2 linked regions of the Ovis aries genome follow. The protein of the gene in region 2 binds, or shares a complex with, the protein of the main gene of each other region. Links are inferred from orthologs where the notes say so. Each region holds a gene or a part of one and is shown on either strand. Other genes may lie near its edges. The genes, in order: MYBBP1A and SMARCA5.

Region 1 (4,589 bases), on a different chromosome or scaffold from region 2:
AGCAGGTCCAGAGCCACGGTGGGCAGCTTGCGTTCCTTCTTCACAGAGTTGGCCACCGTCTTCAGCACAGTCACCAGCCTGCAGAGGTCGGGGGTGGGTGGGGGTGAAGAAGACTCAGGGGGCAGTCCCCAGCAAACAAGGGCCAGGCGCCTGGGGCCACATGGACCCCCAACCCCGGGTCATGGTGCAAACCTGTGGATGGAGGGCCCACCTGCCCACCTCCCTCACACCTGGGGATGTTCTCGTCCAAGAACAGGTTGACCGGTCCCATCAGCTTCTCCAGCTTCTTGGGCACCTTCTGCTGGGCCAAGAGGAAGAGCTCCAGGTGCTCAGGGGAGCCGAGAACTGAATTCATGTCAGGCTTGAGGACCTTGGGCAGGATCTCCTGCAGCGCGGTCTCCGGGACCTGGCGGTGGGGGAGACAGGTTGAGGGTGCGGAGGGCGCCCTCACAGCATCCTTTGTCTCTCCTGCTGTGAGCTGAGCTTTCTGGGCCCCATTCTACCTCCCAGGCTCCCCCAAGGCCCCGGCACACCAACAGCCTGAGACGGGACAGTCACAATCCACCTTGTCAGGCAACAGAATCACCAGAGAGGGTTTCTTAAAAAGCGCAAATTCCCAAATCCTTGGAAACTGGGTTTAAATAAATAAGCACCCCACTGATGCTAACTAGCCCAGGACCACCCTTTTAATTATTCCTCTTGTGGGTTTTGCAGGACTAGCATTTTTTTTATAAGGAGTCCCCAGTGAAGATCTGGGACTTGAATTCAGGTCCTTCCAGCTCTGTGGCCAGGGTTATGCAGAAAGCCTTGGCCTGGGATGTGCCAGTCCCTGGCTTTTTCACCATAGCAAGGATTCTAGGTACTAGCCCACCTCCACTTCCCAAGTAGGGCAGTGGGGACCCCAGCTCTGCCCAAAACAACAATGGCAAACATGTTTAACCCACCGGGCACATGTCAGGCGCTGTTCTACAAATGCATGGTCCAATATGGAAGCCACTGGTCACATGTGGACACTGAGCATGTAAAATGTGCTAATCTGAACAGAGATATGCTGGTGAGTATAAAATACACTGGATTTTGGAGACTTACCACGATAAAGAATGTAAAAAACCTCCATAGATTTTCTGATACTGACTGCACATGAAAATACTTTAGATATTAAACTAAACCATGTTATTAAAGCACATCCCTTTTCCTTCTTACTTTTTAAGGGAAGTTACTACAAAACATCATGTTCCACATTTATGCTTCGGTACCGCATTTTCATGCATTAACCTGTGTCTTCTCCGTGCTCTTCTATGACGGGTGGCGTTAGTTACCCAAGGCTCCACAGCTGGTGAGCCCATACCTGAGAAAGGATGTCCACCAGGGCCTTCTGGGGCTGTTCCTGAAGGTGATTGTAATGCTGGCCCAGGGCCTGCAGCAGCTTCACTGACTTCATCAGTGCTTCTGAGTCCTGGTGGTCCCAGAGGCAGAGAGGGTATGAGTGGGGCGTGCCACTCTCCCCCACCACTCCAAGCCAGTCCACATACCCCCAGAACCCTCAAAGCTCTTACCTTCACTAGCCTGCCTGACTGAAAGAGGGCTAGCACCCCAAACAGGTTTCCAAAGAGGGCAGGTCTCATCATCCCCTAGAAAAGGATTCCAGGCACCCGTGAGAAGGACCCAAGCATTTCCCACCCTGGGGACTGCTGATATCCCTGGGGCTGCTAACTCTCACCTTCTTAACCTTCTGCAGGTCATGTCTCTCCTGTATTTGCTGCAGGATGCTGCCCAAAGGGATGTCTTCGAAAGACTGTAACAGCTGCCAGGAGGAAGAGAGGGGCTCAGGGGGAGTGGCCCTGCCACATCCCAACAGACGTTAATCTCTTCCTACTTCTTCAACTTCTGCCCTTGGGAGCAGGCCTTGGGCCCCTGCTCCCGCCCCAAGGATGCCTCTGAAGCTGCCTACCTGCCTCTGAGCAGTGCTGATGATGGAACATAGCTGTGAATGGAGCTGACCCCTCTCTCCCTGTCCCACGTGTAGCTGGGGTGCTTTGGCCACTAGACTGTGTTTCCCAAACATGCTGTCCCCACAGCCAGCTCTGAGCTCTCCCTAGACTGGTCTTCAAGGACTGGGTCTCTAGAGGCCTTCCATTTGTCCAGGCTCCTTAGATATGGCTTATAATTAGCTGTGTGCCCCTTGGGAGAAGAGGGTCCTAAACCCTGCAGAGGTAACAGAACTCACCCCAGAGCTTACCACCCCCAGTACATGTACCTCGGAGGCTGGTCAACCCAGGTACCCAAAAGCAGCCTCAACCTCCCTCTCTCCGCCTTCCTGGGCTTCTCTGCACAAAGGCCTTGCTTACACAATTTTCTCCGCATCCACGTGGGCACACCTCCCATCGGCTCGCCTGAGATGCTACCCCTACTTGTCAGTTCTCACGTCCCTTGCAGCTGGGACATCTGCTCTGCTCACTCACTCCCCTACCTGACCAGCACAGGTGGACCCCTTCCAGGGGCCACCACCTCACCTGTGCCAGGGCCAAACTGTAGCAGGGCCGGGCTGCTTCTCGTCCACCCCCGAGCCCAGTGATTAGGCGCTTCAGGGCGTACTTCATCTCGGAAGATCCCTAAGGAACCAAGCACATCCCCAGGTGGACCAGTGAGAAGGGTCGTTTGGCACCCGCCCATGCCCGCTCCTCGGCGCGCGCTCACTTGGGTCGTCCAGGTTCGCGACCACGTGACCCCAAGCTCGCCGCTACTAGCCAGGATCTCTGGTGCTCCTGCCCCAGACCCCGCCACCATACCTTCGGCTTTGCGCGCAGATATTCCAGCAGCTTCTCTGTAGCCTCAAGCCGCGTCTCCTGCTGCGGCTTCGCAATGTCCCAGAAGAAGTCCAAAAACTCGCGGCTGTGCTTGAGCAGGCCATGACGGTCGGCAGGCCGGGCGCCGCTCTTCTGGGCCTCTCCCGGAGCCAGAGGCTCGGTGACTTCCACACTCGCCGGCTCCGCCATGCTCGTCGAACACGTGGGCTCGGAAGACAGCCTCTTCCAGGTCAGGTCGGGGCGCATGCGCAATGAATTGGGTCGGCTGGGGGCGGAGCCGGCTGGCACGGGGGCGGGGCGGACGGGGAGGTGTGGCTCTTCCTCTGGGCGCTCAGGAGTCCGGAGTTCATTCCGATTGTGATAGGAAATCACCGGAGGGTTTTATGCAGGCACAAGCCTTGGTCCTATTTAACTGCCCCGACGCCCCCCGCCTTGTCGGATTTTATTTTCCAGACCAGGGATGGGTCACGGATGGAACCTCGGCCCTCCGCAGGGAGAGAGCCGTGTCCTAACCACGGTACCTCTAGTGAAGTGAAGTGTTAGCGACCCCATGGACTGTAGCCCGCCAGGCTCCTCTGTCCACGGGATTATCCAGGCAAGAATACTGGAGTGGGTTGCCATTTCCTTCTCCAGGGGATCTTCCCGACCTGGGGACTGAACATCGCGGGCAGATGCTTTACCGACTGAACAGTCAGGGAAGCCCCAGGGAATCCCCCCATTTACACATTTAATAGAGTATTCTGCTGCTGTGTGGAGGGTGAATTGAAGGAGAGCAGAGGTAGAAGCAGGAATACCAGCTGGATTGAACCAAGTGCTGAGAAAATTCCAGCTAATCTGGAACAGGTGGGAGGTGACAGAAGCGAGAGGGATGCTAGGCTTGCTGCTGCTGCTGCTAAGTCACTTCAGTCGTGTCCGACTCTGTGCGACCCCATAGACGGCAGCCCACCAGGCTCCCTCGTCCCTGGGATTCTCCAGGCAAGAACAGTGGAGTGGGTTGCCATTTCCTTCTCCAATGAGTGAAAGTGAAAAGTGAAAGTGAAGTCGCTCAGTGGTGTCCGACCCTTAGCCACCCCATGCACTGCAGCCTACCAGGCTCCTCCATCCATGGGATTTTCCAGGCAAGAGTACTGGAGTGGGTTGCCATTGCCTTCTCCGATGCTAGGCTTGGGGCTAACATAAGCGGGTAGACTGTGGTACCGTTTGGGCTGGGGGAAGAATTCTTTGTCCGGGAGTTGGGGGGTGAGCAGCGAGAGGGAGGTGGCGGCACTGAGTTCTAGTAAGTCAGAGATACATTCATTTTACAGTGTGGGGCAGGAGTGCTAATGGCCACCTGTTTCTTGGTTTGAGAACTAACCTGTGGAGGATTATAGTTCAGAGAGAACCCAGCCCTCTTGGAGGTGGGGAGGTGAGGGCCAACCCGGCCTTGAAACCGCACATCCAGCTCCAGCCCCCTTTGTTCCCCCTTGGGACACCTCCTCCTCACCATCTCAAACCCCTTCCTTGCTCTATCAGTTTCAGAAAGTGAGAACTGGTTTACCTTGTATGTGTGCTGCCCTGGGAGGCAGGGGAGTAGAGCAGGGAGGAGCAGAAAGACACTAGCCTGGCTCTGCATCCCTGGGTGGCAGTCTCCTGTGTTCCCTGTGGCCGGAGCCCAGACGCCTCAAAGGCTGATGTGAAATTAACCAAGAAGCAAGAGTAGCACATGGCATCCAGGAGACTTGATCTTTATTTTGTTTCCAGCCTGGCCGAGGGAGATCAGTGGAGTGTGGCCTGGAGGGGAGC
Region 2 (2,923 bases):
AAGAGGACATTTATACTTTCATCAGTACTCACTGAAGGTTTGGGTCCTCTTTTCTTCTTCTCTGCCTTCTCCTTTTCTTCTAGTTCCATATTTTCTCTTTCAATCAAGGTAATTAAGGTGTTACACCTCCTCTGGAGTTCCTGAGTTATAAACACAACTTTACATGATAAATCTGTATTCTCCATCTATAAGGTTTCATGAATACAATTTCAAAACCAAAGGTACGTTTTAATAGCATATCATCACTTACACCCCCTCAAATATATTAAAGTTTTTTAAAGCAAAAACCTACTAATTTTCATACACAATCCATGCCAGGGGGATTAAAAAAAGATATGTGTGCATCTTTCACTTCATTATTTAAGGCCATACTACCATATAGGACACAGCCAGGAAATATCTGCAACACTACATACAGAGAAGGTAGTACGCTACATCCGAGCTCTGAACTTACTGAGCGACATACACCAGAACGTCTTACAGATGTGCTATGGTGTGAATCTGCCTGGCTTACAGACAAAGAGCACGCCTCAACTGTTCCAGCACAAGGGGAAGGGGCAACACACATATTCTCATTTTGTATGTGAGCCTTAACACGAACCACGCTAGGAAGTAGCAGTTTTAGGCCCTGGTACTGCACCAGTAAATCAAGGTGGCACTGCGTCTTGCTTCCCTTCCTAACTACGAAGTGACTGTTCCCGCTTTAAAAGATGTAATACAGAGCTTATAGCACCTGAATCTGTCTCCTCTCATTGTATATTTATAATGCATTTATAGTGCAACATTTTCCAACCTAGAGTTTCATAAAACACCAGCCTCCAATGACATTTAATAGGAAAAAATACCTTCAGTGGTCAAACACTTACAAGACTGTAAACTATCCCCCATCTTGAAGAGCAACAATATATTTTAAATATATTGAGAGAAAGTTTATTATAATATTGTTTAAACTTTGCTACCCCAGTATATCTCAAAATTAAGACTACAGAACTTTTTTTGGCATTAATATCATCCTGAAGAACACAAGATAAAGCTAAAAATTCAAAGGTGGCAAAATACATACAGGAAGAACAATTCATCAAAGCTAAATTTTTCTGAATTCTAATTTTACGTCATAAAAATGGAACTTGCTGATCAGAACCTAGCATTAAAACAATACAGTATTTTACCACACTAAGCTCTTTTTAATTAACTGAAAATTCAGTATTCTGATGGGCAGATGCATGAGTAGAAGTCCTTTCTTTATAAAAATGTGTATATTTACAAAAGCAAAAGTCAAATTTTAAATTGTGATCATCTTATTCACAAGTTAAAACTGATGCGACTTTTTCTTCTACTTAAAGCTTGATTAAAATTCACACAAAAAACTAATCCTATTGTATATAGTGATATTAACAGAAGTGCTATCAAATGATGGAAAAAATAAACTTTGTAAGTGACTCATGACATTAGGTTTATAACTGTGGAGGTGAACTGTTTCTTAAGGAACTACTTTAACCTTTGATACAAACAGCAATCTAACAAAAATTTACTTCAAAGATACACAAATTTTCTCCTAATAAAAATTTAAAAGGTACCTTAAACAATACTACATTATCTACTTCGTCTGAATTGTTTGCTTCAGTCCACAAAAAGGCCCCAGTACTCACCATTGCGGTTCTGGACTTTAGAAACCAGTCAAATCTGAACTGAGGAGAGTTGCGAATACACTGCCGCAGCTCATCATACACATTTTCCTTGTCGAATCCAAGCTTGTGAAGCATACAGATCAGGAAGCGGTCTTCCTCTTCAGTGTAGTTTTTCCCTTTGTTAGTACCGTAAGATATTCTCAGCTGATGAAAAGGTGCTTTGTACCGTCCAATCTATGAAAACCGGATTTCACATTATACAATACAAATCCTATAGAACCTATATTTCAAACTTAGTAAAGCTGGCTATAAATGTTGTATTTCATATCCATTTTTTATCCAACGCACTTCCATTGTATCCCCTTTGTTCTGAAACAATTGGTCTTTATTATTATAAAAATAAATACAGACTCAGACTTTCTAGTACTATGTAGCAGAGCTGAATCACAGAGACTCTGACTCACATAGACCAACTGAAATACTGAGGTCAATTCTGTCGAAAATGCCCATGAAGTTTCAGTGTTGTTCTCTGAAGAAATTTTTAATTTTAACTCATTTCTTTTCCTTTTAAAACCTTACTTTAACTCTTATACTTACAGGAGTTATTTTAATAATTACAATACTTATTAATATTCAAAGTACCTTCGTGTCAAGTGCTTTTTTGATGCTGATTCTCCTCTGAATCCTTGCCTCTCCTCTCTCGATCTGAGCCATAATCTTTTCTATGTCCTGCAGCTCATTGCATCTTTCCCAGAACACGGCTGTGGGAGTAAGATTGGGCAAACGGGAGAGGGAGAGAAAGGGAAGAAATGTAAGTAACTTGTTTCTGTAAATGCTCTATTTCATTTGCTAAGGATTAAGAAATGTTTCCCTTCTTCCCACATCTAATACTAGTAAGTCACACAATTATGTTTCCTTAACTGTAAAAAAAAAAAAAAAAGTAAGCTGAACGGCATGATTTAAGCATCTCCCAACACCTAATTCTCTGCTCTTTTGAAATTTTCAGCAATCACCAGAGCACAACTACACATATCCACTTGTCAACCCAACAGACTTCAAGAAACACAGAATTATATAGTATTTGTAAAAGTTATCAAGTGAAATGAAGTAAAAAGAAAGCACAATTATTCAGTGACCTATTCTTGTTTTCTTGGTTACAGTTAGTTAACAAGGGTAAAAAAAGAAAAATTAATGATGCCATTTTAAAGAAGGGGAGCTTTTCCAACTGAATTTTTAAAAAACAAAACAGATACTAAGTTGTGGCAAATTTTAGTTTATCAAAACATCGTTCACGG

The links.
Region 1: SMARCA5 (region 2) and MYBBP1A share a complex: the UniProt entries of both Homo sapiens proteins name them as parts of the B-WICH complex. The link is inferred for Ovis aries from reciprocal best matches to the Homo sapiens genes SMARCA5 and MYBBP1A.

Annotation. Positions count from the first base shown.
Region 1 is NC_056064.1:24,912,398-24,916,986, forward strand, and holds the start of MYBBP1A (myb-binding protein 1A), read right to left. Parts: upstream 3,010-4,589; 5' UTR 2,997-3,009; coding exon 2,790-2,996; intron 2,613-2,789; coding exon 2,514-2,612; intron 1,805-2,513; coding exon 1,721-1,804; intron 1,632-1,720; coding exon 1,557-1,631; intron 1,457-1,556; coding exon 1,349-1,456; intron 1,031-1,348; exon of another isoform or gene 954-1,030; coding exon of another isoform or gene 945-953; intron 407-944; coding exon 231-406; intron 79-230; coding exon 1-78. UniProt on the Homo sapiens protein: May activate or repress transcription via interactions with sequence specific DNA-binding proteins. Repression may be mediated at least in part by histone deacetylase activity (HDAC activity).
Region 2 is NC_056070.1:14,429,861-14,432,783, forward strand, and holds part of SMARCA5 (SWI/SNF-related matrix-associated actin-dependent regulator of chromatin subfamily A member 5), read right to left. Parts: intron 2,549-2,923; exon of another isoform or gene 2,390-2,548; coding exon 2,271-2,389; exon of another isoform or gene 1,863-2,270; coding exon 1,650-1,862; exon of another isoform or gene 141-1,649; coding exon 1-140. UniProt on the Homo sapiens protein: ATPase that possesses intrinsic ATP-dependent nucleosome-remodeling activity.